Caenorhabditis elegans: one gene and its partners. The protein of the gene in region 1 interacts with the protein of each later gene in a pairwise test. Each region holds a gene or a part of one and is shown in the gene's direction. Other genes may lie near its edges.

Region 1 (8,790 bases):
CCAAAAATTTGGTGGTGGAGCGCGCTTGCACTTCGATTTCAAAAAGCGCATTTTTCTGCGTCTTCATAATAAAGCAATTAAATAATTTTCAACTTTCCAGGTGCACAAGATGGATCCCTTCTCACAGTTGTTCTCAATGATCCGATGGTAAAAGAAGAAACTCTCAACAAAATCGCCCTTCTCCCTTGTCGACGTCACCTTGCAGAATTTCAGCATATTCATGTTCCAGAGGAAGCCGAATTGGACACATTTGATTTGAGAAATCTGGGAGCCGTCACCGCCGCGGTTACCCGCTTCAAATCTCTATTGGATAACAAAAAAGGAGGAGGGGTTACAAAGAAGTCACATGTGTGCAGTATAATGTGAAATGTTTTTTAAAAATTTTGCTCGTAAAAATTTGTCTTTATTTTGAGTTCGTCCTGATTTGCAGAGCTCTTATACTAAATGAATTGAATTGCAAACAATTGCGAATGATGATATCCACAGAAAAAAGGATAGTGAAATGGAGATTCTTTCAAGTGGGGGTGGGATGAGAAGGAGATGGTGGTGGGGGAAGGGTAACAATTTTAATGATAAACTGGAATAAAACTTGACTATTGGTGTTGGCATCTGACGCCTTGTCCGTGATGTCCTCCGTGTTGTTCTTCGTCCGAATCTTCATTGTAAGCGTCTCCGCCACGTCCTCGGCTGTACTTCTTCTCGTCATATTCCATAAGAGAAACTTCTGCGGCAGCTGGGGTGACATTGACAACTTTTGAGGTAGGGAAGCAGCTTTTCAGAACCTGGAATAAAGAAAATTTTAGATAAATAAAACGTAACATACAAATCCTATTCTAATCAATTTATAAACATAAATTTTTGTTGCTTTTTTAAAACGGAAATAAAGTCAGTAAATGAAACAAAACCTTAAAAAACAGTTCGAACAATACATTAAGAACAATAAATCTTTAATAAAAATACTTACGGCATAAGCTTTTTCATCATCGAGGAAATGCTCCTTTGGAAATTCGACTTCAAATTCAACGAACAAGTTTCCTTTGAGTTCTGGGTATTTCTTATTTGGCATTCCTTTTCCAAGAACTCCTCTGATGACTCCTGGCTTGATAACATCTCCTTGTTTACTAGAAAGAACCAAAGGATGGCCATCAAGATGTTTGATAAGGAAATTATAGCCGCAAAGTGCCTCATTCAGTGATAGTTTCCTGAAAACAGTAAAACTTAATTTTTAAAAATCGATAAAAAGTTATTACTTGGTCATGTGAAGATCATCTCCATCTCTCTTGAAAATATCATGATCTTTCTGTTGAATAACAATGACAACATCTCCTGGCTCACCATCTGGCTAAAAGATATTTTTATTTAGAAATTTTTTTAAATCAATTATCTTCACATGCACTTACGTCAGATTGGTCTCCATCTCCTTTGAATGTAATTTTATCGTTATGTTTCATGCCAGGAAGAACGTGAACCTCCAATATTTTCGAAACGTTTTCGTACTTTTCTCCATGGCATCCTTTGCACTTATCACCTGCTGGAACTTTGCCTCCAGAACCCTTACAAGCATCACAGTGAACCTGCATTTGTTGGAGCATTCCGGGGCCAATTTGCTGAACGATCGTCTTCACTCCACGACCACGGCATGCATCACACTTATATTTTTCTCCCTTCTTTCCACCTGACCCTTCGCAAGTTTTACAGAGTGCCTTTTTGGAAAGCTTCAGCTTTGATGTTTTTCCGACGTAAAGCTCTTCGAGTGTAACATTGAGGGGATGAACAGTATCTTGGAATTTCCGCCGACGTGGGCCACCTCGTCCCATTCCACCCATTCCACCGAACAAGCCACCAAATGGATGACCACCCATATCATCATCGTCGTCATCGTCATCACCGCCAGCACCGCCGAAGAAGTGAGAGAACAGACCTCCAGGAAAGCCTCCTCCACCACCACCAGCTCCTCCTCCTTGAACTCCTTCCAAACCTCTGGCGTCATACAAGCGTCGTTTTTCAGGGCTCGAAAGAACTTCATAGGCAAAACTGATCTCTTTGAATTTATCTCCATGGTCCGGGTTTTTATCTGGATGGTATTCTTTAGCAAGTTTGAAGTAAGATTTCTTAATGTCGGCCTGCGAAGCGTCTGGTCTCACATTGAGTGTTGTGTATAAAGTGGTGTCCACGGGACCACTACTTCCACCTCCAAACATATTACCTGAAAAAAAATGAATATTAAAATGCGGACATGACAGTGAAAAATTGAGAGAAACGGACGGAGAATGCGCGAGATGTTTGAAAAATACAACTTTTAATAATTCAATAATGTAAATTATTGAATTATTTTTTAGCAATTTAAACAAAATATTTAGAAATCAATTTTCTTACACAACGAACGACACCAACGAGCAAGTGAAAACAAAAACTGAATTTTGTGAACAAGCATCGAACGTTAATTAATGAGAACTGAATAAAAAACGCGGAAAATCGAGAAATTGAGCAAACGCGCGTCAAATCGATAAAAAACCACCGAATTTGGGACTTTGTACTGCAGAGAAAATTCTCGATAAAACCAACGCTGGTCGCGAAACGCGCCAGCATCCAATAACGCGTCAGCCGCAACTTCGCTTGCCCCATTCTCGTGAGCGCACGGCAGAGAGACTGAAGACGTGACAACACCAATACTCCAATAATCTTAGCACGCACACAACTACAATCTATATAAATACTGCATTCTAACTAATAAAAAAGCCAATGCTACTATTACAAGCTATATTTAAAATATTCATAAATTCTAAATAATCCATAAACTTTAAAATTATGAGTGAAAAGTTGCCACCAGGTTGGGGTTCTGTTTTTGGACATTTTTCACATAATATTATCAGGTACACTATGCGCAGTCTGTGACGACATTGCAACTGGCAAACATTACAGCGTTGCTTCATGCAATGGATGCAAAACTTTTTTTCGTCGGGCTCTTGTGGTAAATTTAAATAAGAATAGACCTAGTTGAAATGAATCTGAAAATATTGATTTTTCTCTCAATTAAAATGTTTCAAATTGATATCTAATCACAAAATGTTGTAAGATCAATTTAACAAGCATCAAACATCACCCTTTTTTTAGAATAACCGAGAATTCGTGTGTCAAGGGAATAAAGATTGTCCAGTTAACAAAGGAGTTCGATGCGCGTGTCGTTATTGTCGACTTCAAAAATGTTTGGCCGTTGGAATGGATAAGAATTGTAAGTTTTTGGTATACTTTGAGATTATGGAAGGATCCTAGGGTACATGGTACATCGATTAGTAAAGCCGTAGAAGCAACCCGAAATAAATAAAAAATCACCTGCCATTTTCCACGGCCGAATATGTATAAATAAATATTAAATTGAAAAAATTAGAAAACACTTTTCTGTTGAAATATATATTTTTCTTACAATTAGATCAATTATAGAATAAAAAAGTATTATTCAGACGCGAAATTTGGCGAATTTTCCCTCTCTGCCGGTCTCGGCACGATAAATGTTTGATAAATATAAAAATATATGCGCCTTTAAAGAGTACTGTAGCTTTAAACTTTGCTGATGAATTTTTATCAATTTTTCTCCGATTTTCTATGAAAAATATAATTTTGCAATTGGTAAAAATATTAAAAACACATAAATTTGTGAGAAAAACTATTCAAAATCAATGAAAATTCCACAATAGCGAGTTCAAACTACAGTACTCTTCAAAGGCGCACACCTTTTCGCATTGATCAAAAAACTGTCGCGTCGAGACCAGGGTCACCGTATTTTTGAGTTTAAATAAGGAGAACAATTTTTTAAGAGCCGTTAATTAAGAGGCTCTAGATAAAATTACAAATTTTGAAAACCAATTTTGAAATTTTTCCAGTTTCTCATCAATCTAGAAGTTACAAAATTTCATAGAACAATATACAATTATATTTCAATTTAATTTTTTTTAAAATCTGAATCTATTCAGCAATTCAAAACGACCGTGATAGAATTGGATACACAAAACGAAAAAGAAGACATGATGACAATGATATGGAAGGAGGTGTTCATCATTCAGAACATATCAGAGATGGATCTTCAGGAAGTCCACAAATGAATGATGAGAGCCCCGAGAGTATGGATATGAAGGATATTAAAATTGATTTGGTAACTTTTAAATAGAAATTTCCAAAAACAATGCAATGCATAATTTCAGAATTGTCTGGATCCAATTGCTGATAGGCTTACAACGTTGGAAAATAACTTCACACTACTTTTGAGTAGATGCGCCGATTTGCATTCCTATGCAACGTTAGAAGATGCTCTCAATGCTCCAAGTCGATTTATGCAACCTATTTCTTGTGAAGTGAGTTGAAGAAATGATTTATAAAGTAGCGTCAATAGATGTTTGGTATTGTTTATGTGCATTAAAATAGTTTCTTTTAATTTTGAAAGTCGACCAAAAAATTTCAAATGTTTCTGAAAATTTTGGCATTTTACCAAAACTTGACTGAAAATTTCAAAAAATCCAGAAAATTTGGTCATATTGGTCTATTATAAATGAATTAAATTCAGAACCCCAATGGTCATATACTGTTAAAAATTTGCATAAGTATTTAAATTTTTGTAATATGAAAAATGTATAAAATCACGTCTAACAGCTTGAGCTAAAAATTTTAAAATTTTCATGAAATCTACTATTATAAAAATAAGACTGAACGAATGATTGGGATTTTTTCAAAATTGGAAAATTCACTTTTTTTGGTACAAAAATACGCCGAAGTTTATTAAAATTTACTTTTTAATTTTAGTTCCAAATTCGATTTATTTTAAAACTTTACAAAAAATTATTTTCCCAATTTTTTGGAATTCGTCAATCAAAAAAATTCCAATTTTATGTTTAAAATATATTTAAAATATTCATCTTCCAACATTGTAGATGCTCAAATATGCGACAGTGCATTAGATTTCTTGAAAAGTGCCGCAAACTTAGTTTTCACCGCTTTCTGACTTTTTTTAGATCTATTTCCAAATTTCCACAATACTTACAACTTATTTCAGTGGTCAGACAATGTAGTTCTCACAAATCGAGATGATAAATTGCCATTCTGGAGGCAACGTTTGATAGCTCTATACATAGATTGGGCGAAGACATTTTCCACTTTTAGATCCCTACCGTACGCTGACAAAGTAAGTATCTAAACATTCTCCTCTACCTCTTCCATCATCCACTTTTTCAGGTTGCCATGGTAACTAATCATGCATCTTCTTTCATGATCATGTGTGAAGCTTTCCGCACTCCAGAGCACATGAAATCGGATGTTGTTCGTAAGAGACCGGATCTTCCAAATATCGTGACATCAAACTCCGGATCCGGATGTAGCAGGGTTTCATCGGTGGCTGGAAGCTTAGTGAGCAATGGGGAAGATGTACACGATGATTTGACAAACTTGCTTCATGCGGCATGTATCCAGCAGTCTATCAACAAAGGGATCATGTTTGGAGAGAATTCTTCTGATGATAAAATACTTTTGAATCTTCCAATTCGGTATAGATATTCAAACCCATAAGTCTCAATTTATATTTTTTCAGAGAAATAAAGAAAGAACCACTAGAAGTTCCATCGACAGAAGGAATGATTCAACTTCCAACTGAATATGGCAACCTTCCAGCAGACTATGCTTCGTGGATCCCTCAAGATTACGGTCATCCAACAGCTGGACACGAAGGAAAATCAGATATGCACAATTTCTTTGAAGCTCGAGACTTTTGTGTGGTAAAATTTTTTTTTTTCAAGTACATAAAGTTAATTTTTCTTAAACAGGGTCGTCCATCCTCCTGCAACTTGAATGAACGATCTATGAAAACTGTTTCAATGTTGGAATCGAGAAACTTTCAGTCTCCAAGTGCAAAGTGGGTTCTTTATTTTTTTGAAAAACAATCTAGTTTGAAATTTATAAAATAATGAAACACAAAACCGTAATCTATAGAGCCATTTTTGCAAAAGTCAACCTAAAATTGTGTCTATGATTTTTACATTTAAATTATGTTTCAAATATTCACCTTAGAACATTCTAACTTACCAAAAGCTTAGCTGTCACTTTTGAAAGCTTTCAAAATTTTTAAAGTGTTTTATTGTGATATTCAGTCATGATAAATGTGTATTTAGACTATATTCTTATAGTTGATGTATCTGACGTTACCAAGGAATTATGAGAAAAATCGGTGGCAGGCTTAATGTGCCTAGTAGACGCCTAGGCATTTTGTTAATTTTGGAAGGTATGGTCAGTGGGGACCTAGTCTAATTACACTTATTATATATAGTCCAACATGACAAAATACCTTAATTAAACAATTTAAAAACGATCTTAGATTTTTCTCAATTTTAAGTTTTGGGTTTATGTTTTGTTCAACTTTTGGCAAATTGCCAAATTTCAACAATGTACAGCTTAGAGCTTTTGTGCAATTTCGAGAATTGATGCAAGTTCGGACCTCCAGAGTGTTATGTACAATCAATACAAAATTAAAGTATAAAACTCGAAGAAAAAAATTATTTTTGGTCGACTTCCAAAATTACAACACTTTGACTGTAAATTAAAATTTTTCAGAGGTAAGAGATGAAAATGTAGTTTCAAACTATTGCCCTACTGACGATATTCCATGTTTAACTTCAATTAAATTTTGATTTTCAGCAATTCGAGTCTTTCTGGAATAACACCAGTCCTCACAATGATGATCGATCTTGTAATGAAACCATTCCGCCAGTTGAACTTCTCCACGACAGAATTCGCTCTACTTCAAGCAATCATGTTCTTCGATCCAGACACCGAAGGACTCGATTCGGCATCACAAAGAAATGTTGTAGCAGAACAGAAGAAACTACTTGCAGTGCTCTTTCGTCATTTGCAAAAGGCTTATAATCCGCAAGCGGCAAGCGAGAGATACGCTTCAATTATTCTTCGAATGCCATCGATTCGGGTACGCGTTGAACTTTCGATCTGTCTGATTAAAAAATTCTATAAATATTTCAGAGAGCCGCTGCAAAAAAGAATGAATCATTGCAAGTGCTGGATATGCTTCAAATGCATGAAATTAATTCTCTAGTGAAGGAAACATCGCTCGGTCCGAGACCTTCAAATGTTCAACAACGAATGGGAATTGGTGGTGGTGCAGGAGGATGTCTCACGTTTCCATCTCAAGAGGATTGAGGATTGAGGATTAACTTCAAATCATTGAATCTACATATTTTTTGATCTCATTAATATCATACTCAGGATTCCATCAGTATAAATTGCCTAGATAAAACCAAATAAAGAATGTTTATTGATACTCAACGTTATTAGAAAATATCGAAAATTTAATAAAAAAACTGAGTTAAATCCTCAAGGTATCTGATTAATCTTATTTTTAAATAGAAGTTATTGGTTGTGAAATGATTGGGATGTTTCTCTGATCATTGATCAATGTTTCATCCACTACTTCCAATTTTGTGGTCTGATTCCATCTTCCAAACCAGTCATTGACAGCTCGATCAGCTTCTCTGCGACCACTCAAATAACCTCCGATGGTTGTTTGGAATAGTCTGAAATTGATTGTTTAGACTTTTTTCTCTTATCTCTGAAATAGTATACCTGTGATGAGTTGCTTCACCGGCAAACAGAACCTTTGGTCTTCCTTCCAGTTTCACTGGAATCGCAAGTTGAGAGTGAGAAATATGGGAGAGCGCTTGCACTTGAGTCATGTAGGAATAGGATCCTAGAAGCAACTCGTTCTTGGTCAGCTGAGTTCTGATAATCTTGCTAGGCTCGGGAATACTTTTGTCGTTGTACATGTCTCGCATCAGTTTTGTAATTCTTTGCTTCAACTCTTCCTCCGACATGTTATCCACCAACTGATGACCTCTACCAGCATACCATGCACTCAGAACGTTCGGAGCCCAGTCGACAACTTGAAGGATCGTAGTCTCATCTTCAAATGCATCCAGTTTATCTCTAATCATTCCCTTAACAGGGAGAGGAGCGATGGAGTAGGTGTTGTTCGACCAAAATGGAGTTTCCCATTCGAAGAACACCTTGCAAGATCCTCCGAATCCGATTTTCTCGATGGCTTCAATTTTCTGTCGTGGCAAGGGTGGTGTGAACATTTTATGATGATATTTCTTGAGAACTCCTAACGAAGAAGTCACAATAATATAGTCATATTCCGTTGGAACTGCACGATCGGAAACTGTCAATTTGATTTTTCCAGTGTTTGAATCCAGATTGATATTTTCAACTCGACTATTGAAATTGAATGCCTTTCTTGGAATCGGTGCGGCAATATCGTCCAAAATCGCTTTGAATCCAATTTTGTTAGTGGCAAATGATTCACATTCCGGTCCATAGTCATTCCACTCTTTTAGAACGTGAACACTCAGCTGGAATAGACAATTTTCAAAAAATTTCAAAAATTCAAAAATTGTCCCAATCACCTGCCAGTATATTACGGAAACGTAGAAACGCGTCTTTTGAAATCAGGATGCAACCGCGCTCCACGACTAAATTAAAATGCTCCGCCCAAAAAGGTTGGGTCTCGTTAAGGATTGGCTCAATTCAAAAGCCTTCAATTGCTTTCGCCAATTTCTCCAAGCATTTTCCGGTTTTGATGTCTTAAATTATTTTGATGTCGAAATTTTTGTCGAAAAAATTAAAATTAAAAACCTTATTCACATTTAAACTTCAAATGCATTTCATTTTTAAAACATAATTTCGAGCCCAAAAAGTTATCAAAAACGATGAAGAACCTAACCAAAAAAACGGAAATATACT
Region 2 (7,045 bases), on another chromosome or scaffold:
CGAAACAACGTTATTTCTCATTCATCTATATAAAACAACTTCGTTTTGTTTCTGATGATTGATAAATCATCCACGTCTTTGATAGCAACAGACTCATTAAATCTACCGTAATCCGTGTTTGTTTTTCAACAGGAAAAAAAAGAGTTTTCTTGTTCTGCAAAGCCTCTCCTCGCTACTGGTTATGCTTCTAAGAATGAATCATAATTTTTAAGTAAAGAAAACTACTTTTGTTTTTGTTTTCCTCCTTTAACATACTGACATCATTATCCAATACTGTAGTTCCTCACACCGTAACCCATGTCTACCCTTGTTCATGAGACTACCACATGATAAAAAGTGGGTAACATGAGCGAAAACTGGAATGAAATGTTCTATGAAACAAATCATTAAATGATGCATTGTCTCTCGTTGTTCACTATCATTGAATTGTTCTGATTTGTGCCCGATACAATTGACGGGGTTAAACTGTTTTATAGTGCAAACTGTAGAGAAGTTCAAAATGTGCCAGGAATTTTTTTGATTTTTTTTGTTTATTTTTTCATCTATAATATAATTCTAAAACGACGCATTTTTAATAAACCTAGTTTTTTCCCAAAACACTCTGACTCCCTTCAAAAAAATCAAAGTCTACAATTTAACGGGAGATCGATTTTCGATAATTCCGGCATTTTCGGCATTTTGGGATTCGGCAATTGCACGCCCACCGGAAAAATTCGAACATTTAAAAAATTCATAACCAAACTTTCGCATTTTACAACATTGTTTGCATTATTCAGTACATTTTGCCCCCTTTTAGCCTGTCACAAAACTGCCTAGCTTCGTCAGCGTATATCTCAATTGTAGTTTGTTTTATCAAAAAGTTGTCAACTAGCAAAATATTTTTCATTTATTTTTCGATACGTTTGTAGTTAACTAATTTCTGGTATCTTTGAAATTAACTGAAATATATGCTCTCAAAGTAAAGTACTTGTGAGCAAGATGTGCAGTTTTGATATTATTTCTACTTAAAAATTCAAATTTACTTGTAAAAAAGCAATAGTCTTACAGTTATAATCAATTTAAAAAATAGTCTTTCACTGAATATTACTAATTGTAGAATAGTAAAGTATATATAGTCTGAAACAATTAAAATAGGTAGTCCGTGGTCATCAATCAGTACGATAGTTTTTATTTATTTTCTTATCACGAAATTTTATCAGAGATCCTATATATGAAAGTGAAAACGGGAATTTTTTGATGATAAGTCATAGACCTCCCAGTTTGAGGAGGCTACATATTCATTGACAATTGGAATTGGGCGATTTGCAAGTTTTGTTCATCGGGTCCACAAAAAGTGGTATGTATAGTGTGCTAGAACATTGAGAATCTACTTTTACTTTCATAAATTTCCCAAGAAATATTTTGCACGTATTTGTCAGTTGACAAAATTTTGATAAAATCAAAGAAAACCGAGGTATACATATGTTGTCAAAGACTCAAAGTAGAACATTTGGGATTTTATTTTCTATTTGTAATTTATTTTAACCACCAGATCCATCTTAATGATTACACTGATTCTTCCAGCCTGTCAAATTGCAACTGTACGTAGTCTTATTATTTTCCTACTACTATCACATGACGTGGCAAGGCCAGAGACTTCGTTCTTTTTTCTGCAATCGACTGTTCGATGCGCCGAGGCGCGCAGAGATTTTGATCCGCATCTCAAATTGTGTTGACTTCTCACTACAAATATTTGATTCCCATGCTTGTGACGTCTTCTGTCCCCGTCTCCCGCCCTCTCCATCCGATATAATCCCACCCACCGCGCGCTCCGCCTCCTTTTATTCCGCCTCCAGTGTCAGTTGCAACGTTGGTGGCACACAAGGCTTGTACAAACTTGCATAATTTGATATAAAATTTATTTTTCTCCTTTCTTCTTTTTCCGATCATCGAAACCACACAAGTTGTGGTGATAAGTGCTGATATGAGATAGTTTCCACTGTATCATCTCTCTCTCTCTCTCTCTCTCTCTCTCTCTTCATTTCTCCTCACTTCCTCGCCGAATCATACAGAGATCGGCGTTCTCGAAACCCATCGATGACGTCATTGTTCCTTACAAGCCAAAGATTACAGTACTCCTTCTCCTCAATATCTCCTCTTCATTCCTTCTGAATCGGTGCACCCGCCTGTTTCCTGTGTAATGATTAGCGGCCCATTTCTTCACTTTGATCCAACTGTTCCACTCCAGACAGTCATGATGTAAGTTCTCCTGAAAATATGAAATATCAAATAAATTTTCAAATATAAAAATTCATCAAATTTTTTAAATTGCTTCAAGTACCATTTTGCATTTATTCATTTGAAGCAGTGACGTGCGGCACATTTACAAAATCCCCGTTTTCTCATAGTTGTGGCAACGGTTTTTGTTGGAAATTTATATTAAAAATACAGAAATATCTGTACTTTTTGAAAATAACTTAAAATTCAATAAAAAGTTTTGAAAAGTTGCTCGAAAACTTCTTCAGAGTCGTAAGATATGTGCCGATCAGCATATTGATATTTGAGGCAGTTTTTAAACAGCTTCTTGAAACTTTTACTTGAATGTAAAGTTGTTTTCATAGAATACAAATAATTCTGTATATTTCTATAAAAAAACGATAAGAAATGGCAAACGGCATTTGTCGCGCACCACTGATTTGAAGTGTAACTTCCTGGCTAGGCGATATCCACCACAATGACCAAGACCTTTTTTTTTTCATAAAATCAATTAATGTTGTAATCTGAAATCTTTAAGCGGACACCCGGCGACGTCTCCTTTGTCGCTTCCATCATCATCGTCTAGTCCGACCGTTGCCGACCCATCGAACATTCATTGCCGAGTTTGCGAGAGACGATACGACGGTTCGCAGCACTTCGGAATTGATGTAAGTTAGTGAGGAACACGAGGAGAATAGGTTAGAGAGGAAAAACCTAAGCGGAGGGTCGAGAAAATTTGGTGCTGATCATCAGATATTCATCTTTTCCGAAAAAGACTTGTTATTGGGTAATGCCTAGATTGTTTGTGATAGCCACAAAGTTTTCTAGGTCATCAACTTTAGATAAAACAGTTATAGACAGATTTTAAGATAATTTGGAAATGTGAGGGGTTGCCAGAAATAGTCATGGCCGTTTTTCTTATCTATATCCTTATCAAGTGAATCCTAAAAATAACTTAATTTTAAAGTTCGATCAATCCAGTTCAAATTCATTTCTCGCTCGAGATTTCAAGCCGATTTCTCTGAATACCGGTTTTCCAAGCCTATCCAAAGATATTTCGTTGTGAAGCTTTTCCCTGCTTCTCGCTTGACAAGATGAACATCTATTGATTTTCAGATTTGCCGAGCATGTGCCGCATTCTTCCGACGAAGTGTAGCTGTCAAGAAGACATTCGTCTGTAGACGTGGAACCAACAAATGTGAACTTAACAGTGAGTATTTCTAGAGTAACCCCTTTCCTTGGCAAATATAGATCAGTGACAAACCATTATTTTTCTAGCAGTGTCTCGAAAAACCACATGCCAAAAGTGCCGATGGATGAGGTGTCTTCTTGTTGGTCTTAATGTTGATGGTGAGTAAATATAAAAATTGTTGATTAAATTGAAATATGCATTGTCTCCAAATCAGCATCTAACATCACGCCAATTCAATCCAAACTGGAAATCGGTTTTAACATTCATGATTCGCTGCGCGCTAGAAACAATCCAGCACGGAATGAGTTCATTAAAACAAGCGCGAGAGATAGACACATAAAGAGAATATCAGTGGATGTGTGATGCTGCTACCCGCAATCATTCTGGTCTTTCCGAAGAACGAATATGTTCATCGTTGCATCAGTGAAACAGACAAAATATGATTGTTGGTCACAGTTTCCACCCAGCGAAGGGGGAGGAAGTTGTTGTAATAGTAATAGAGGTCATGAGAATAACATGTGAAATTGTAAATATTTCAGCAGTAGTTGGCCGACGATCACCCGACCATGTCAAGACAACATCAAGAGACGAATCAGTTAAAAAGGAAGATGAAGAATCGGATACTGGCTCAGAGGGTAAATCATGTGAAGATATGGATGTATCCCATCCAATTGAACAATTCCAACAACAAATATCATTTTCTGTGCACCGCCCAATTCCAACAATTGGAAATCCAAATATCTACACAACAAGGGCATCTCTCATTAACAAAGTACTTATCAACTATAAGTGAGTTTATTGGAATTCCACAATTCAAATTTATAATTTTCGTTTTTTCAGTGAATTCACCAAATCCCGCCTAGACGTCGAGCTTTCTCTCAAGCACATGCAACAAGATTCCAAAGTATTCGGATCAACTGGCATTCCAATTGTTCCAGCAACTCGTGAAATCATCTCAGAAATCTACCAAAAACAATTCGGGCTTCTCCATATTTTCCTCAAAAACACTTTCGACGAATATGCCGAGTGTGATGTCCAGGAGCAAAAGAGAATTTGTGCTATGTTTTATCCAGTTCTCTGGGAAATCGAGTCCTGCTACTGGACCTACCGTAATATGCCAGTTCAACCTGAATACGAGACTTTGATGATGTGCACTCAAACTACTTACATCGACTCGAAAAATGTTAGATACTGGCTTGGAAATACCACTGGATTGAATGAATCTGATATTCAAGCAGTTGAAGCGTAAGTTTCTTTGAATTTGTTTCATATTCCCAATTAAACATTTTCCAGTCGTTTGGAGAATCTTCTAACTAAAGCAAGAAACTTGGTTCTCGAGCCAATGCACAAATTGATCATCAAAGAATTCGAATTCATTACCCTTTTGGCTCTCAACATCTGGGCTCCTCGCAATCATCGCGGCTGTGTTTCCGAAGATCGCGCCGAGCAAGTTCGTGATGCTCTTTTCGATGATCTACATTATTTGTATTGTGATGGCTTGAAAATCGACAAGTATTCAAGTAGAATGGGAGAAATGATGTGTCTTCATACAGAAGTTCAGGTAATTAAATTTAAATTCGAATATTTGATTTTAAAGCTCACAATTTTCAGAATGCCGATATGTCCTCCACCATCAAGAATATCCTATTTTCCGATCTCAACGCCTACTTGTACTCAATCTAATTTTGTTTCCCTAAGGTTTCTATCCTCCCGAATCCCCTTTTAATATCCTGTAAATACTTTCTTCAGTTTTCAAATTCTCAAATTTGCTTTCACTATCAGTTTAAACTCGAAGCTTTTGAACATTTTCATCCTTCCAAATGACTATCTCTATCAAAAAATTGTGATCGCGTTCTGATTGCCATAGCTGATCTTTAATATTGTACCGTATTGTTCACTATATTTCCTTACCTCATAATAAACAACGAAATTTGATGTTGTTTAATCCTGCAGATCAGTGGCTGGTTTTTAATGTAGAACACAATGATGAAACATTGCCGAATGACGTGGATGATCGGTACATTTTTGCATCACAAGCCTTTTTAACAAAACAAGAAAAAAATTTTGTGAACATTGATAAGAAATAATCACCTGTTATGATTCATTTGATTAATTGGAAATACATTTTTGATTCTTGTATGACCTGTGAACTTTGGATCAACATCAATAGCAAACTGTCGCTCTTATCATTCAATATAAAATACTATATTTTTACGTAGGCCTACCTGCTTTCAATGTGATAGGCAGGCGCGGAAACAACTCAGGCGGCCTATTATAAAATAGTGATGTATGCCCTACTGTAGTTATCATTACAACAAACTTTCGTCGCGGCTCACAGTTGCTTGTAGATCTATCCTTATTGTATTGCACCACTCTGCAAAATATCTCCAAATTTATATCTCCGCTCAATCTCTCCAAAACGAATTTCTAAGTTGTCCAGGATCGTAACATGGAGTAGCTGAATGAACGCGTTTCATATTGCGATTAGCTTCTTCTTCCCGTTTCTTAAAGCGTTTTTGTATTCTGAGCGAAATTGGTTCAAACTGTGAATATCAAAAATAAATCTATGTAGGCGAGAAAAAATCTATACAAAGCAATACAAAAAGCTATCACGATTTGAAATCGAGTTTAAAAGAAAATTAAGAAAAATCCAGAATTTGCTAAAATTTGAAATATCTTGTCTTCGCTCTGAAGTTTTGGCTGCTCTCCCTACACCAAACTATGATATTATTATATGAAGAATGATATTATATTATGAAAAATGTACCAAAACAGCAGTATTCGTGGTGAGACCCATTGAAATAAATTGTACTTCAGAAAACTCTCCAGTTCAAACACACGTGTCAAGGCCGTTACGAACTTTTCATGCGCACCATATCTCCTTTTCAGATCTTTTTTCTGACAAATATGCGCCTACCGTGTCCCGGATCGTTACATGGAGGAGCGGGATGCGAGGGTTTTGTTGTCCAAGATCAATATCGCTTCTTCAAGCTTGATGGTGATTTGCCTTATTTATGCAAATGTGTTCAAGACTTTTTAGGGAATCTCATAGGACATTTATTAGTGGAATAATGGACGAAAATAAATATTAGAGCAGTGTTACTTTGCCGAGAGAAACATTAATAGTTTAAACAAATACTGTTACTAATAAAGTTCAATAATGTTCTATTAGTTTTCTATAACTTTCAAAATGTTTTTGTTAGTGTGACATTTACTAACATCAACCAGCTTTAATTATCTACAAAGCTCTCTCCGAAAGATGTTTTATCTCTATCAAAAATCTTCAAGGGAATAGCTGAAGTCCTGTTCTGGATCGTAACATGGAGTAGCTGAATGAAAGCTTTTCGTATTAGAAAATAGACAATTTGCTGTTATGAAACATTTCGATAGGGAGTTTTAAGATGAAAACTTTGTTTCGTTGTAAATTCCACAGAAATGAGCGACTCACATTGTTGAAAAAAACTTGTTATTTTCGGAAAGTTGATGCATACATTTTTCTAGTCAATTTGAGTTTGAGTTTTTATCCAGGTAGTTTCTAGTTTTGAAACTGACTATGAAATGGCAAACTGATACTTTGGCAGAGCATATGAAAGTTTCTGATTTTTTTTAAATTTCCAG
Region 3 (9,533 bases), on another chromosome or scaffold:
AAGTAAAACCAAGACCGGTGTCATCTCCGTTAATGATTCGTGCCGCGTCGGTAGATCAAAATCCCATGACAGCCTCTCCTTCGGTGATCCGGAAAAGTCAAGTAACAGCGACCCAGTCCCCGGTATCCTACCGAAAAATCCCTCCAACATCTCCAACTCCACAGAGAAGACCCCTGAACAACACTGAGGTACCGTCTCCAGTAACCTATCGGAAAATCTCGGCACCTGTGCAAAAAGTGACGAGCCCCGCTCCTCCAGCGGCAAGATCCGTCTCCACCGATCAACCGCCCCCGGCGAATCGAAGAAGCCAGGTGGGCATTCTGTCTGCCACGTCATCGAAGGCTACGGTAACAGTAACATCTGCAACGTCACCACCGTACCCCAAAGGATCAGTGGGACCTACAGTAATCTCGATTAAGCCGGCACCCGTTCAGCAGGCACCGATGGCTCCTCGAGCCGCCCCGACAAAAGTAGACACCTCATTTGACATCTCGGATGTGCTGAAAGGTCCGAAGCTTCGGAAAGTCGGCATGCCTGCTGAAAAATCTGGAATCTCCCTAGGAAAAGTTGTCGAATCAGTGGAAGCATCCGGCAATCGTCCATCCTCAACTCCTCCTCCGCCACCTCCTCCACCACCTCTGGCAGCTGCTCCTCCACAGCCCAAGAATCCCGACCTAAGGGACTCGTTGATGAATGAAATTCGAGAAGCTGGAAGGCTACGGGCCGCCCGTGTTGCTCAATCTGCTTAATTTATACGCTTTTTTTTGTTTGAAGAAGAAAAATGAACTGAAACTGGTTTTAATCTTATTTTCGTCGTTGTCAACATCTAGCCCATTTAATCTTGAATATTTTCTGTGATTTGTGAAGAAAAACACGTTGAATAAATTATTTTACAGCTGAATATGTGCTTTTTTAATTTCAGATTTGATGGCCTAATTGGGAAATTCTAGGCCACCAGCCATTGCCGATGAACATATTACAAATTTCAAAAAATTATTTTCTTCAAAACCAAACACCCAAATTTTTTTTAACTACCAATCTACTAACCGATTATACTAACCGATGTCTGAATAATAATATAAGCACAAAAAATTAATACCCACCGTTCAAAATCTGACTGAAATTCCAGTTTTAGTTTAGCTCCCAATTAATATGTATTCCAATTTTCAAAAAAATTATTTTATTCAAAACCAATCACACAAATTTTTTAAAACTTCACCAATATACTAATTGATCTTTGAATAATAATATAAACACAAAAAATTAATACCCACCGTTCGAAATTTGTCTGAAATTTCAGTTTTAGTTTAGCTGAAAATGAATAAAAATTCAAATTTTCAAAAAATTATTTTCTTCGAAACCAAACACCCAAATTTTTTTCAAACTTTACCAATTTACTTACTGATGTCTGAATAATAATATAAACACAAAAAATTATTACCCACCGTTCAAAATTCGACTAAAATTCAAGTTTTTCTTTAGCTGAAATTTAGTAAAAACTCAATTTTCAAAAAAACATTATTTTAAAACCAAACACCCAAATTTTTTTTTAACTTTACGAATATACTCGATTATGACCGAACAAAATTTTACGCTAATATCCAGTTTTACTTTGACTTTTCAAAACCCTCATGCGCCTTTAAACCTCGGTGTACTGTAATAACTCGATATTTTAATTGTTTTTATTGCCTTTTCCTCAACCAATGTTAGATAAAATATGTTTTTCCATTTCCAGTGATCACATGGTACAGTTATATTCAATTAAAGAAAACAATCGCGGCGAGACCCAAAAATGTACTTCCCAATTCGATCCCAATTCTTTCGCAAAATAATGACAGAGTGGACAACAAAATGTGACATGTTTGTTTTTATAAGACGTCCGCCGTCGTCTTTTTTCTGTTTACTTGCACTTCCTCGCAACGGCGTGGCCTAGGTTTTCCCACGGCCACGCTCATTTAGGTTCTAATAAACCACACTAGTGAGAGAGAGAGAGAGATAGTTGCGAGAAGAGACGGAAAAGAGCTAGAGAGGTCTCTCGTTCTCTTCATTGGCCTCAATTTCTCGCCACCACCCCCTACGTCTCTATTCCCCCAATGTCCTACATTTTTCGGATCGTTTTTCCCTTATATCAGAATCTGCCTAATTTTACGAGGTTTCGGCGCATAATATTATGTGCAATTCGAGAATAAAACTTTGAATATTTATTAGTTTAGGTCTTTTTCATTGATTTTTTCCAATAAATTCAATTTGATTTTAAATTGCTTGAAAATCGCCACCGTATCACTTTAAAGGCGCATTGCTGTTGTTTAACTTTGGGTCTCACAGCGAACCGAGTTTCAGTCATTAATTTTGATTTTTCCTTGGTTTTTTTTAAAAGAAAATTCTCAAAGTTAAAATTTTCACTCGGTTTTAAAATTAATAATAGCTAGCAACTATAATTCTGGAAAAAACATAAATTCACTTTAAATTGCCTAAAAATACAACCGTATAAGTTTAAAGGCGCATTGCTATTTTTAAGTTTGGGTCTCACAGCGAACCGAGTTTCAGTTATTAATTTTGACTTTTCCTCGGTTTTTTAAACTTTATTTGAAGAAATTCTTCAAAATTAAAATTTTTCTCGTAATATTTAATCAAAAATAATAATTAGCAACTAAAAATTCGGAAAAAAATAGAAATTGCTTGAAAAGTTTCACCGTATAACTTTAAAGGCGCAATGCTTTTGTTTAACATTGGGTCTCACAACGACCGAGGTACTGTGGAAAATTTATCGAATTTAACGAATTTATTCATTTTTATGAATATATTTCCATTTTCCTCGGTTTTCCGAAAGATTTTAAGCTTTAAAATCATCAAAAAAAAACTTAGTTGCAGATAAAAAATGAAAATGGAAGAATTCTCACCTCCAACTTCACCGAATAATCACGTAATCGTGCAGGCGAACCCGCAAATCGCCGCCGCTCTCTCCACGAATTCTGTAAGCGATTTGTGTGTCCGCTCTCTAATTATTGCTTTCTGTCCCAACAATGACTCACCGGCCAGCCGACAAAAAAAAAACAAAAAAAACGAATAAAAATAATAAAAAATCGGAGCGCCTCTCCGTTTTTTTTCCCCCGTAAACGTCCAAAGTGTATGTGTATTATTCTCATATCGATTGTGCTTCTCTTCTTCCCCCGACAAAACCATTTCCATCACAAAAGCTTCTCGTCGTCCTCTGTCCATATATATATATATATTTACTAATACTAAAAAATGTGGCCCTACCATCATGGATATCACGTCTATCACCCACATTTTCAGCCAATGCAGCAGGGAATTCCGCCACAAGGCCATCAGAATCCCAACGAACAGCAGCAGCAGCAGCAGTTTGTGGGCCAACCGCCGATGGGTGGAATGGGCGGCCCGATGAGAATGCAGATGCCACAGCAGCAAAGTATGAAGAAAAAACTCCTAAAAAATGCCTCAAATTCAGAAATAATTCCGTGAAAAATGAAAAAAAAATTGCTCAAAATTTAGCTGAAATCTCCAATTTTGTCCTATTCCGCCTATTTTAGTCGGCTATTTTACGTTTTTTCCGAAGAAAAAAGAAAAAAATCGCGAAAAAGTGAAAAAGTTAACTCGAAAAACATGATTTTTCGAATTACCTCCAAAATGAGAAATGCCTGAGCAATCAGCGATTCGCTCCGCCCACTTTTCGACCAATCAGGTAGATTGGGCGGAGTTTGAAGATGCTGATTGGTAGGAAAATACTCGAAAATTGGTAAATTAAATATTTAAAAAAAGCGATTTTTAAAATGGAATTCTTTGAATTTTTTAAAAGCGATATCTACATTTACACAAAGCCGCCTTAAATTACACCTAAATTAACGAAAAACGTGAAATAAATATGCAAATTAGGATGAAAATTGAATAAAAATCAATTTCTAGCCACCCTGGCACCGAAAAAATGGAGATTTTCGCTAGAATTAGGCGATTTTCGGAATGTCTGGTAGATCATGGTGTGATCTACAAAAAATGCGGGAATTTTTGGCCCAAAAAAATGTGACGTCAGCATGTTCTTAACCATGCAAAATCAGTTGAGAACTCTGCCGCATTTTTTGTAGATCAACGTAGATCAAGCCGAAATGAGACACTCTGACACAATGTGTGGTTAGGAAATTCGGAAATTCAGCAAAATTGGAACAGCGACCAATCAGCGACCGGCTCCGCCCACTTTTGGACTAATCAGACGGAGTGGGCGGAGTTTGTAATCGCGATTTTCTCCGTTTTTTTTTTTGTGGTTTTTCTGAATTTTAATGTATTTTTGGATATTTTTAAAGAGAGTGTAGTTGAATTTTTTTTTTATTGCTGTATTAGACTCAAAATTGTCTGAAAACATCGAATTTAATAATGAAACTTCTTGAAAACTTTTCAGGAAAAAGTTATGATGGCTCAAAAAATGGCCTAAAATTAGTGCATTTCTTGCATTTTCAACTTGATTTAGGTATTTAAAAATCAATGGACGGCGAGATTTTTAAATTTTTTTAACGATTTTTTTCCGTTTTTTTTTGTGGTTTTTCTGAATTTGAAACTATTTTTTGGATATTTTTAAAGGTGGTGTAGTCGAATGTTTTTATTTGCTTTATTAGACTCAAAATTGTCTGAAAACACCGAATTTCATAGTGAAACTTTTTGAAAACTTCTCAAAAAATAAGTTATGACGGCTCAAAAAATGACCTAAAATTAGTTAAAGTTTGAAATTTGACCAACTTATCAATGTCGCAGCGGCTGGAAACATTTTTTTTTGAAATCACCGTCAAATTTTGAGTATATAAGTTAATTACCTTGTGTTTTAAATTTGATTAAGGTATTTAAAAATCGATGGACGACGAGATTTTTAAATTTTTTAAAACCAAATCTCGCCGTCCATCGACTTTAAAATACTTAAATGAAGTTGAAAACGCAAGATAATTAAATTGTATACTTAAAATTTGACGGTGATTTCGAAAAATTGTTTCCAGACGCTTGGCTAGTCGGTAAAATTTCAAATTTTAACTAATTTTAGGTCATTTTTTGAACCGTCATAACTTATTTTTTGAGAAGTTTTCAAACAGTTTCACTATGAAATTCGGTGTTTTCAGACAATTTTGAGTCTAATAAAGCAAATAAAAACATTCGACTACACCACCTTTAAAAATATCCAAAAAAAATAGTTTCAAATTCAGAAAAACCACAAAAAAAACGGAAAAAAAATCGTGATTTTCAAATTTTACTAAAATTAGCTCTCCGCCCACTCCGTCTGATTGGTCCAAAAGTGGGCGGAGCCGGTCGCTGATTGGTCGCTGTTTTAATTTTGCTGAATTTTCAAATTTCCTAACCACACATTGTGTCAGAGTGTCTCATTTCGGCTTGATCTACGTTGATCTACAAAAAATGCGGCAGAGTTCTCAACTGATTTTGCATGGTTAAGAACGTGCTGACGTCACATTTTTTGGGCCAAAAATTCCCGCATTTTTTGCAGATCACACCATGATCTACCAGACATTCCGAAAATCGCCTAAAATCTCCATTTTTTCGGTGCCAGGGTGGCTAGAAATTGATTTTTATTCAATTTTCATCCTAATTTGCATATTTATTTCACGTTTTTCGTTAATTTAGGTGTAATTTAAGGCGGCTTTGGGTAAATGTAGATATCGCTTTTAAAAAATTCAAAGAATTCCATTTTAAAAATCGCTTTTTTAAAATATTTAATTTACCAATTTTCGAGTATTTTCCTACCAATCAGCATCTTCAAACCCCGCCCACTCCGTCTGATTGGTCCAGAAGTGGGCGGAGCGGTACGCTGATTGGACGATGTTCCAATTATGCTGAATTTCCGAAAATCGCCTAATTCTAGCGAAAATCTTCATATTTTCGGTGACTACACCGTCTCTTTAATAAGGCTTCTCATGAAATAATTCGTAATTTTAGTCCGCCAAATGCCATACCCATCACCACAAATGCGTGCGGGCCCTCCACCACCACAGCAGCAGCAGCAGCAACACTTTCAACAAATGGGTATTCCACAACAGCAGCAGCCCCAACAATTCACACCGAATGGGCAATCAATGCAAATGCAACAGAGACCAATGCAGATGGGCATGGCTCAAGGGGTACGGGGGCGGTTATTATCTGGGAAATTTGAATTTAAAAAAAGCTTCCGTTTGAGACCCAAGAAAAACCTTTTTTCGGGAATTTGGGTCCACGGGATCAAAAATCTCTGAAAAATTGTTCTAAAAAATGTTACAAAACAATTTCTGCAGTGGAGCAGCGGAGCAGCGGTGAAAATTTCAAGGCTTGTATAATTTCTTCAAAAAAAAAATTTTTTTTTCGCATATTTTGGGCATTTTTAAGACTTTTTCTGCAGTTATTTTTGGAAATCCGCTTAAAAATCCTCTAATTTTAAAATGTTTCCAGCCAGGACCATCTGGACATTTAATGGGAATGGTCGGAGGGCCTCCGCCACAACATATGATGCAGCAGCAAGGAGGTGGTGGACCACCACAATTTGTGGTGAGTTTCCGGCAAAATCGGCAAATTGCCGGAATTGAAATTTCCGGCAAATCGGCAAATTGCCGGAATTGAAATTTCCGGCAAAACCGGTAAATTGCCGGAATTAAAATTTCCGGCAAATCGGCAAATTTCCGGAATTGAAATTTCCGACAAAATCGGCAAATTGCCGGAATTGAAATTTCCGACAAAATCGACAATTTGCTGAAATTAAAATTTCCGGCAAATCGGCAAATTGCCGGAATTGAAATTTCCGACAAAATCGGCAAAATGTCGGAATTCAATTTTCCCGCAAATTGCCGGAATTAAAATTTCCGGCATATCGGCAAATTGCCGGAACTAAAAAGGCAACGTTTACCGATCGAGCTCGTAAAAAACCGGCAAATTCGCCAAATTTGTCGTGGCGTAATATTTTTTGGAGCTCAAAAAGAGCCCGATTTAATGGAAAAACTATAAAAACCATTAGTTTTGGGCAAAATTTTTCAAAATTTCCAGCCAAACTCGTCTCCAATGCCGCTGCCTCCTCAACAAATTATGCAAGTACAACATCAGCAGCAACATCAGCAGCCACCACCATCTCAACAAATTCAACAGCCTCCAATTCCACAGCCACAACAGCAACAGGCACCGCCACCTCAAATGATACCGGCCGCTGTTCCGTATGGAAGTATTATGGAAAAGGTGCAACAAAAAACCGGCAAAAATACTTAGAAATTTCGGCAAAAAAACCGGCAAAAATACTTGAAAATTTCGGCAAAAATACTTGGAAATTTAGGCAAAAAAACCGGCAAAAATACTTGGAAATTTCGGCAAAAAAACCGGCAAAAATACTTGGAAATTTAGGCAAAAAAACCGGCAAAAATACTTGGAAATTTCGGCAAAAAAACCGGCAAAAATACTTGGAAATTTCGGCAAAAAAACCGGCAAAAATACTTGGAAATTTAGGCAAAAAAACCGGCAAAAATACTTGGAAATTTCGGCAAAAAAACCGGCAAAAATACTTGGAAATTCCGGCAAAAAAATCGGCAAAAATACTTGGAAATTTCGGCAAAAAAGCCGGCAAAAATACTTGGAAATTTAGGCAAAAAAACCGGCAAAAATACTTGGAAATTTCGGCAAAAAAACCGGCAAAAATACTTGGAAAATTGATTTTTATTTAATTTTGAAATTTTTTCAGAAAAAATCGAATAAAGCTCAGATTTTCCGATTTTTTTTCAAAGAAAATCGAAAAAAATTCAGGTTTTTTCAGGAAAATTTAAAAAATTTTCTGATTTTTTAGTTTTTTTTTCAATTACAAATTTCTCTAGCAAAAATTCGCAAAAAAAAAATTTTTTGGATTGTCTTTTCATAGAAAATGAGCAAATTTCAGATTTTTCGGTCTTTTTTTTCAGAGAAAATAGGAAAAAAAATGCACAAAGAATTCACGGAAGGGGACGAAAAAGCTATAGATTTATCAAAAAATATGCTGATTTTTATTGAAAAAAGTGATTTTTTTTTTCTATAAAGTATTGAAAAATGGCCGGAATTTATTGAAAATTCGATTTTTTTTAAACGAAAAACGAAAATTTCCAATTTTTCAATACAATTTTTAAATTTTTTTTTGAACTTTGAAAAAAATTCGAACTTCTGCATACACTAGTTTTTGCTTTGCTCCTGAAAAAATAATGAAATTAAAAATGGAATTTTTTGTAAATTTGCTATTAAAAATTCGATTTTTAAATTTTCACTGAAAAAAATGCCTAAATTTTTGGTAATTTTTCTTGTAAAAATTCTTGTAAAATTAAGAGTTTTTGTTTAATTTTCTAATTAAAAAATTTTAAATTTTCGATTTTCAAGATTTTCAAACAAAAAAATCGAAAATTATAACAATTAATAAAAAAAAAAAAAAAAATAGCCTAAAATTTTCGTAGTTTTTTTTTTTCAAAAACTCTATAAAATTTTTTTTTCCGATTTTTTGATTTTCACTGAAAAAACCGAAAATTCTTATTTTAAAAAATCTTCTTTTTTTTAAAATTTTTTTTTCAGTCAAAACTGGATGATTTGATGCAACAAATCAGCTCAACAACAGTACTCGAAGAAAATGTAAAAGATGTTCTTGTGGAGTACGCCGACGATTTTGTCAGTTCTCTAATCGATAAAGCATGCAAAATGATCAAGAATCGGGAGGTGAAGAAAATTGAATCACGGGATATCGAATTTATTCTCAAGAATGTCTATAATATGCCAGTGGTACGGCGTTTTTATTACTGATTTTTATGTTTTTTTTTGATATTTAAAATGGTCTAGAAAATACGGATTTCGTGAAAAAAAAATTAGAAAAAAACGCCTAGTTTTAGCTAAAATCTCTAATTTTTGACTATTTTTTTGGAAAAAAAATCTTCTTTTTTTTGTTGATAAAAATTTTCATCACAAAATAGCTTTAAAAAACCGGATTTCGTAAAAAAAAAACGCTTAATTTTAGCTGAAATATCTACTTTTTTACCGTTTTTCGATTCTCCAGTATTAAAAATTTTACCTGAAAAATACAGAAAATCGGGTTTTTTTTTCGATTTTTAGTGTTTTTCAGAGAAAAAATGTCTAGAAAATATTGAAATATTCATTAGAAATTTTTTTTTCTCCGAAAAACCTTGTAAAATCGGAAAAAGAAGAAAAAAAAAGTGTTAGGATATATGGATTTATCAAAAATATGCAAAAAAATGTGCAAAAATGTGCAATAACTGTGCAAAAATGTGCAATAAATATGCAAAAAAATGTGCAAAAAATGTGCAAAAAATGCGCAAAAAATGTGCAAAAAATGTGCAAAAAATGTTCAAAAAATGTGCAAAAAATGTACAAAAAATGTTCAAAAAATGTTCAAAAAATGTGCAAAAAATGTTCAAAAAATGTGCAAAAAATGTACAAAAAATGTTCAAAAAATGTGCAAAAAATGTGAGACAAAATTCGAGTTTTTCAGCTAAAATTAGGTGTTTTGGCTCGATTTTTAATCTAAAAAATCAGAAAAAATTGTT
Region 4 (6,658 bases), on another chromosome or scaffold:
AACTTTTCACAAAACCATTGTTTATTTGTCTCAGTTTCATCAATCCATTCCGTACCTGGAGATGAATTGTTCTCTTCCACCTTTTTTCTCCTCTCCCCCTATTCAGTGTCCACCTTCCTCACTCCAAGTGCCTGAGAGCAGCAAAACCTGCTCCTCCTCTGTGTTAGCCTACACCATCCAGATTGCCACTACAGAGACAGACACACATGGGAAAAGCACAGCTTCTTCTTCTTCTTCTTTTTTCTACATCGTTTTCCTTCATATTCATGCTCAACTGAGCTCATCATTACCTTTCCCATCGGTTCGCAACCACGCCTCTCTTTTGCTTCTTCCTCTTCTTCCGGAGCAGCGACTGGGTGCCTCTTTAAAATCTCCGTAAAATGGACGTCTAAATGCTTTCAAGTGTGAAAGTGACTTCGAGACTTTTAGGTTTGGGTAGATGGCAGTAAATAATGTCATCTGATGCGTCATCCTACCTTTTTGCTACCCTCTAGATTTTACTATTAATAGGCTTAAAAATGCCGCCTTCGCGTGTGCATACCACCAAATATATAGATCTATTTCCACTTCAAATAGCTCTGTTGTCTTTGGTTTTCTTTAAAAATTGTCAACTAACAAAAAACATGCAAAATTACTATATTTTAGTAGTTAAAAAAATAACCGCCAAAATATGGTGATGGGGGTGCACGTCTAATAAGGAAAATACGGTAAGCGTAACTTTGTGAACTTCAAGCACCGAACTTCACGTTAAAATTCAAAAGAATAGACAGTAGGCAGCCTACCTTTTGGAAAATTCTCTGGAAAAATCGTCTTCACAAAATTTCCAAACTATCTGATAACACTCATTCGATGGGAAATTGTCACTTACGCGAGGTTTTTTTTGCCTCCGATTCAGAAAAAAAGTTCCATTTTTTGTTATCATATCATTATTATCAGTTCTAATGGCACATCATGTGTCAAGTGATGAGCACCATAACTTTAAATTTTCAAGGTTTTCGAAATATTTTACTCTTGTTCAACAATTCTTCATTTCAAAATGTGACCGTTTTCTTTCTACACTTATGACACTTTTAATACTGTATCACTTGAATGTCTCTAACTTTTTTTCCATTTTCCTCACAACTTTTCCATTCTTCTATTTTTCTGTAGAATGGACGAGCCCACCTTTTATTACTCCTATATAAAAGCTCTTCTCGGTGCGCTCACCTGGAGCTATGAGGAGAAGAAAAACGGAAAGAATAGAAGAAAAGAAGCGGCAATTTTGTCCCGTCCCTTCTTCCAAAAAGATGAGGACCATGAAGAAGAAAAGCGCAGCACATCCGTCAGAAGAAGACCACAATTGGTGGAGGGGCACACCTCTACTTTAAAATAGCTCCCATTTGCTCGCTTTTACTGGAAACTCTGGGGTCACTGATTTTTTGGATGGTTCTAGACTGTCCTCAAATGTATAATTTCAAAGCTGCGGCAAACTGCTACACCCTGTTGTATTTTCCGTCCAGCAATTTACTTCCAAAAATTCAAACTAAGTCAATAGTTGTTATAGTTTTTAAGTTGGTCTTTGATTATTGAGCAGTTCGGTAAACTCGCAGCCGACCTCGATGGAGTCTCGCGATAGCCTACTCCTGGAAAAAACGTTTGTCTTCTGCTTTCACCTCATGATATCAGGAAACTTATTACAGACATTCAGCCGACAAATAAACGGCTTGGCTTCTACTAGAAATGCTCAATAGATTCTAATTTAGTAGGTGTAGATATTTTCACTTTTGTTTATTTTTCTAAGTATCGAAGTACATATGTTAGAAAGTAAATAAAAATTGCTATTCTACTTTAAGAATTTTCTATATTAAAATAGTCTTTAGTAACGTGGGGTTTTCGAAACTTGCAACTTTTCAAGTGAAGATGCTCCTCACCTGAAGCATCCTGTCACTCTACCGATTGGCTGATGGGCGTGTCGTCTTCCATCTCTTCCACCCGCCCACTTTTTGAGACAGGAGAGGCTCTCGCTCCTCTCGCATCCACAAATGGAAGGCGCCTCTTTCCATCTTCCTTTCTTTTTTTTCTGGTTAGTTGAAGTATCCTTAAAGTATCTTGACGTTTTTACTATATATGACTTCTGGAGAGACATTCGAGTTTTTGGATCAAATATAGAATGTCAAATTTTGAAGAGCAATCTTCTCATATGTCAATTTTTCAATAAAATTGTATCCTACATTGTGGTGGTGTAGAACCCTCAAAAAATAATCTCTAAATTAAGAATTTCTTGATTTTAAAACTGACTAGCAAATTTGTCATGAAAAATCTCAAACGAATTTCCTACAGTTCATCTACCAAATGAATTGGGCTTGTAAACTTTTTCACCATCTACTAAAAAATTCAATAAAATAATAATCTCTTCCCAAACTACACCTCCCTCCAATATCTCTCAGCTTACTCCTAACTCCTATCCCAAATTCGTACATCTACCGTACCATTCCTCCTCCCTGTTCGTTCTCAATGACAAAGCCAGCCTTGAACAGCCATATCCAACTTTTTCGTTGCATTGTTCTCGTTCACAAGATGTATTACTCATCTTTCGCCCCAAAACTGTTCTTGTAATTTGTACAGTTCTTGTTTCTTCCCACGTACAGTTTCCTAAGTTTTCAGGATGAGCATCGACACAGACTTCCTCACGAGTGTTGAGGTAAAGGAGGATGAGCTACATGGAAATGTGCTCATTGCAGTAACTCAAATTGCACTCGGAAGGACCATCGGTGTGATTGATAAGGTGAGCTTTTGGTGTACAATTTTTACGCCGTAGACATTGTCTTAGAGGTGTCCGCTAGAAAAAGAAGTATAAGCTTATTCCCGGGCGTCTAAAAAACTCCACCGGAAAAAATACAGGTCGCTTGAACTGAAATATCTTATAGCTTGAGTAACCTATGAAATAAGCTTTCAGATGTTACACTCATATTTTGTTAGTTAGTAGTTATATGATAACAGTAATTTTAGGTTGTAATTGATAAAATAATGACTTTTTTAAATTAACAAAACTTTTTTTAAAATATTTTTACAAGCATTTTAAATTGATACCTTGGTGCCTAATCTACCTAATCTACAGTACCTTCGCCAACATTTTCAAATCCTTTCCTAATGATTCAACGTTCGAATTACAAATTCTTCCCAGAACCCAAAACCGCAATTATCGGGACCCTGAAATGTTTGGCGCCATGTGTTCCTCCCTGCTTCTTCTCCTCAAAAATTCCTTACACCTGTCTTTCCACCTTTCCCGCTCCCCCCGTCCATTACCACTTTGTTAACCTTGGGGGCACACTAGTAACCATTACATTAGGATTTACAAATCGGAACACCTGGTGCCTTGGTGGATGGGGGATCCGAGATGGGAAAAGAGACTCGATGATCGACTGTAATTGATGAATACAGTCGCTGATGGGAAAATGGATAATTGCTAGGTTTCCATAGGAAGAAGAATTTGAGGAGCTCTATCAATAAAGGAGAGGGATTGAATCCGTTGATCAAGCCGTCAATTTCCTACTGTAGCTGTCGTCGTTATCCAACTTCGTCACAATTCCATCATTGAATTAGTGTATTTCCCCCAGTTGTTTATCATCTAGAGCCGGCGACGGGTCTCTCACACTGATTGGCTTATCACGCACGCACACCACATCAAGCGGCAGTCACTCAGAATCAGAAGCCACTGAAGAAAAAGTTCATCATCTTTTGCGAGAGAGCCACTGATTGCTTATGGTTGCTTGGTGAAGGCAAACCACCTGCTCTCACAGTGGGAAAATTAGATTCCAGAAGCGATAGAGAGAGCGACAGCTCCTGCTTCTTCTTATTAGATATTGATGGGTTTTTGGGCTGAAGCTCACGGAGCACAGAGAGTGGTGAGTTGGCCGAAATGAAATAAGATTTTTTCGAGAATGAGTTTAGAATGTGTGCGATTTGTGAAATAATTGAGGGAGGAAACCCAGTACGCCCAACAAAACCCTTGTTGAGGTACTAAACTGTTTCTGCGAAGATCTGTGGGAAAATATACAGAGATTGCAGGAAAAATAATGCAGTCTTGTAACTGGTGTCACACGGTGTGACGCGCGTGACGTCATCTTTTTCCAGTCCGCAATATATCAAATGAAGTGAAAACTTAAAATTTGGATATGCAGTTTTGAAGAACGCATCGCCAAATACAGGGATTCTTGAAACTTTAATTTTTTATAACTATTCGTGTCCATTTTTTGTAAAATTAAGTCCGAAGAGACATCACCGTTGTCTTACAAGCGGTCATAGAGAAACCTACCCAGCGTGCCAATCGTTTCTTTAATCCATGTTATCACGAGGCCGTCGAAGGTCACCTTTCAGGCAGGCATACATTTTTTTACTACGATTTATGTAGATCCTAGATTCTACACTCATCATTTAGAAAAAGTACTAAAAACAATCACTTACATTAATTTTATAAATATTATTATTTTAGGCTACACCGAATGATTCGAATGCTCTTCTCATCTTGAACCTGATTAAGGAAGCTGATGACGGAGAAGATGCCAATATTTGTATGAGGCAGGAGGATAGAAAGGTGATTATTAGATAAATTTAATGAGGAAGTTATCTAACTATAAGAAAAATTTCAGACTTTTCTACAAACCAGTAAGATTATCAATATTGGAGAGCGTCTTCTTCTACAAAGACTGTCCGAAGAGGAGTGTGATGAGGAGGATCAGGATGATCTTGAGAATTTAATTTTGTTAAAAGATGAAGATCGGTGAGTATGACCCTTGAAAGAAACAAGAAAAAGAGCATGCTAAAAAGGTATGATTTTTCTCACCTTTGAAATTGGAACGATAACTGAACAAGTTGCAAAAACTGTAATTTTCCGGAATTTTTTCTATGATTTGAAGTTCTGTGTTGCTATACATAGAAGGATGTTTGAATTACACATAAAACAATTTCTAAAAAGCAGATTGAGTATACCTTTAATTTTTGAGTTGTTGAGATCAGCGTTAAAAAATTTCAAACCGGTTTTGTCGGTCTTACACAGGCGAATATTCGAAAATAAATCTCGATTTCTAACGGAAAAGTAACGGAAGAAAGATGTGAATCTTCATGAAAATCTTCTGTCATTTTCTTCTCATCGTCCTACTTTCTAACTCCCGTCGTTTTCTCGATAGTTTTCACTGGCGCGGTGAAAGTAACGGATTTCCGATAAGAGCACATCCTTCAGCATCTCCAAGTGAAGCCCGCCCGCTTTTTTTGTGTCCCGTTCATTTACATATAGATTCTACCGCTTCTGGATGACAAATTCGTGTCGGTTTCCGGAGGAGCCCTTTTTTGGGTATTTGAGCCCCTCAAAGGAAATCGTTGATTTATTTTGAGGGGTGTGCATCGGGGGAAGGAAGCGGATCTAGATTTTGCATCTTTTTTGAGAATCAATCGTTTTTTTTGCGGAAAATATAAATTTTTATCTTTTTTTCCGAAATCTTTATATCGCTAACTTAATTTGTGTTATTACCATCTTTTCTATGTTTCTTAAATTTTTAGACGATGATTCCTTGGTATCCCAAAAGTTTAGGTTTCAATTTTTACGTTAGACCTTGAACTTGCCCGATTAGATTTGAAAAGTTTGGGTTAATTTTAATATTTAATAGATTTTTCTAAATCGTTATTCGTATCAAACTATCTAGACATTGCACTTTACACTAGAAAGAATAACACAAAATTCAACTATCAAGTTTATGAAAAAGCTAAAAATTAAAATGAAAACATATTTTTATTTTAGTCATGAACTTTCATTATTCACCACATTAAAAAAGAGTTCTGTAAATTTTAAGAACAAAAATTGAAACTACGGAATATTCAAAAAAACATAACTTCATGCGTGTTTACATTTTTTGATAAAGCCAATAACATCCAAGATTCCAAAACTGCCTAACTTAAAAAGCGAGTAGCCAAACTAATTGTGTTATACGGTTTTGCTATATGATAGTATTAAAAACGTATTATATTTTTTGAGGCACTGTTTTTTAACCTTTCGAAAATCAACCATTTTCAGGCCGGACAGTACTCAAAGCTGCACAAAGAGCAGCAGTGAAGACAGCAATCTAAACGGTTTCGAGGAGTATATTCGAGAACACGGCGAACTTGTACCTGGTCAAACGCCTCCCGACGGATCACACAAGTGTGGAGTTTGTCCAAAGAGTTTTTCAAGTGCAAGGTGAGTTCGTTGAAAAAAAAAGTCGGAAAAGTTATTGGCAAGGTATATCATGCTAATGCACTCTCTCAACTGTTGTATTTTAGCAGGTGTTTGAAAGTGTTTTGTCTATTTATGCGTCTCTGTTTGTATGTTTTCATACCGTAGTCACCCTTCTCTATTCCATTAGAGGGAGGATCATTTGTGGCATAGAGACACGGAGCCCTCTATTTGCTCATCATTTTCCCGCCTTCCTCTTGAAGAAGTGGAAGGAGAAGCTCTTCTATGCTCAGGTAGAATGCTTGAAACCAGTGCTCCAGAGACTCAGGAAATTGGATCCAGGGAGGAAATGAAGATATTCTGGAGAAGTGGCTTCTTCATAATATATATTTTCTTTGTCTTGCATTTCCTAAGATATGAGAACCCGTTTACAGAGTCCTTTTATAGAATTTTGGTTTTTATAATAGAGATGTA

What was found.
Region 2: the proteins of nhr-47 (region 1) and nhr-43 interact in a two-hybrid assay, tested with the Caenorhabditis elegans proteins (one large-scale study listed by BioGRID).
Region 3: the proteins of nhr-47 (region 1) and taf-12 interact in a two-hybrid assay, tested with the Caenorhabditis elegans proteins (one large-scale study listed by BioGRID).
Region 4: the proteins of nhr-47 (region 1) and egl-43 interact in a two-hybrid assay, tested with the Caenorhabditis elegans proteins (one large-scale study listed by BioGRID).

What each region holds. Positions count from the first base shown.
Region 1 is NC_003283.11:5,502,645-5,511,434, forward strand, and holds nhr-47 (Nuclear hormone receptor family member nhr-47), read left to right. Parts: upstream 1-2,608; 5' UTR 2,609-2,808; coding exon 2,809-2,830; intron 2,831-2,873; coding exon 2,874-2,971; intron 2,972-3,114; coding exon 3,115-3,232; intron 3,233-3,971; coding exon 3,972-4,150; intron 4,151-4,199; coding exon 4,200-4,349; intron 4,350-5,044; coding exon 5,045-5,173; intron 5,174-5,223; coding exon 5,224-5,531; intron 5,532-5,575; coding exon 5,576-5,759; intron 5,760-5,807; coding exon 5,808-5,896; intron 5,897-6,675; coding exon 6,676-6,961; intron 6,962-7,014; coding exon 7,015-7,191; 3' UTR 7,192-7,312; downstream 7,313-8,790. Other genes in the region: T05C3.2 (NACHT domain-containing protein), read left to right, coding at 101-366; dnj-19 (DNaJ domain (prokaryotic heat shock protein)), read right to left, coding at 594-782, 965-1,202, 1,251-1,342, 1,401-2,201; hpo-15 (Amine oxidase domain-containing protein), read right to left, coding at 7,391-7,565, 7,615-8,399. UniProt on the Caenorhabditis elegans protein: Orphan nuclear receptor.
Region 2 is NC_003282.8:11,897,550-11,904,594, forward strand, and holds nhr-43 (Nuclear hormone receptor family member nhr-43), read left to right. Parts: upstream 1-2,110; 5' UTR 2,111-2,179; coding exon 2,180-2,238; intron 2,239-2,773; coding exon 2,774-2,903; intron 2,904-3,351; coding exon 3,352-3,445; intron 3,446-3,513; coding exon 3,514-3,585; intron 3,586-3,693; exon of another isoform or gene 3,694-3,824; intron 3,825-3,966; coding exon 3,967-4,216; intron 4,217-4,267; coding exon 4,268-4,672; intron 4,673-4,720; coding exon 4,721-4,988; intron 4,989-5,038; coding exon 5,039-5,110; 3' UTR 5,111-5,361; downstream 5,362-7,045. UniProt on the Caenorhabditis elegans protein: Ligand-activated transcription factor. Positively modulates expression of homeobox protein lin-39, perhaps by binding to the sequence motif 5'-TGAC-3' in regulatory regions of the lin-39 gene, acting in the embryo, and also in the vulval lineage.
Region 3 is NC_003281.10:11,862,620-11,872,152, reverse strand, and holds the start of taf-12 (Transcription initiation factor TFIID subunit 12), read left to right. Parts: upstream 1-2,871; 5' UTR 2,872-2,878; coding exon 2,879-2,974; intron 2,975-3,297; coding exon 3,298-3,430; intron 3,431-5,946; coding exon 5,947-6,128; intron 6,129-6,432; coding exon 6,433-6,528; intron 6,529-7,020; coding exon 7,021-7,206; intron 7,207-8,550; coding exon 8,551-8,754; intron 8,755-9,533. Other genes in the region: Y56A3A.6 (WH2 domain-containing protein), read left to right, coding at 1-749. UniProt on the Caenorhabditis elegans protein: Part of the general transcription factor complex TFIID. Plays a role in recruiting taf-4 to the nucleus and thereby activating transcription initiation by RNA polymerase II, as part of the TFIID complex.
Region 4 is NC_003280.10:9,952,542-9,959,199, forward strand, and holds the start of egl-43 (Zinc finger protein egl-43), read left to right. Parts: upstream 1-2,643; 5' UTR 2,644-2,644; coding exon 2,645-2,764; intron 2,765-4,469; exon of another isoform or gene 4,470-4,471; coding exon 4,472-4,573; intron 4,574-4,628; coding exon 4,629-4,759; exon of another isoform or gene 4,760-4,806; intron 4,807-6,046; coding exon 6,047-6,208; intron 6,209-6,658. UniProt on the Caenorhabditis elegans protein: Probable transcription factor, required for migration of the hermaphrodite-specific motor neurons (HSNs) from the tail to the gonad primordium during HSN cell differentiation. Required for phasmid neuron development.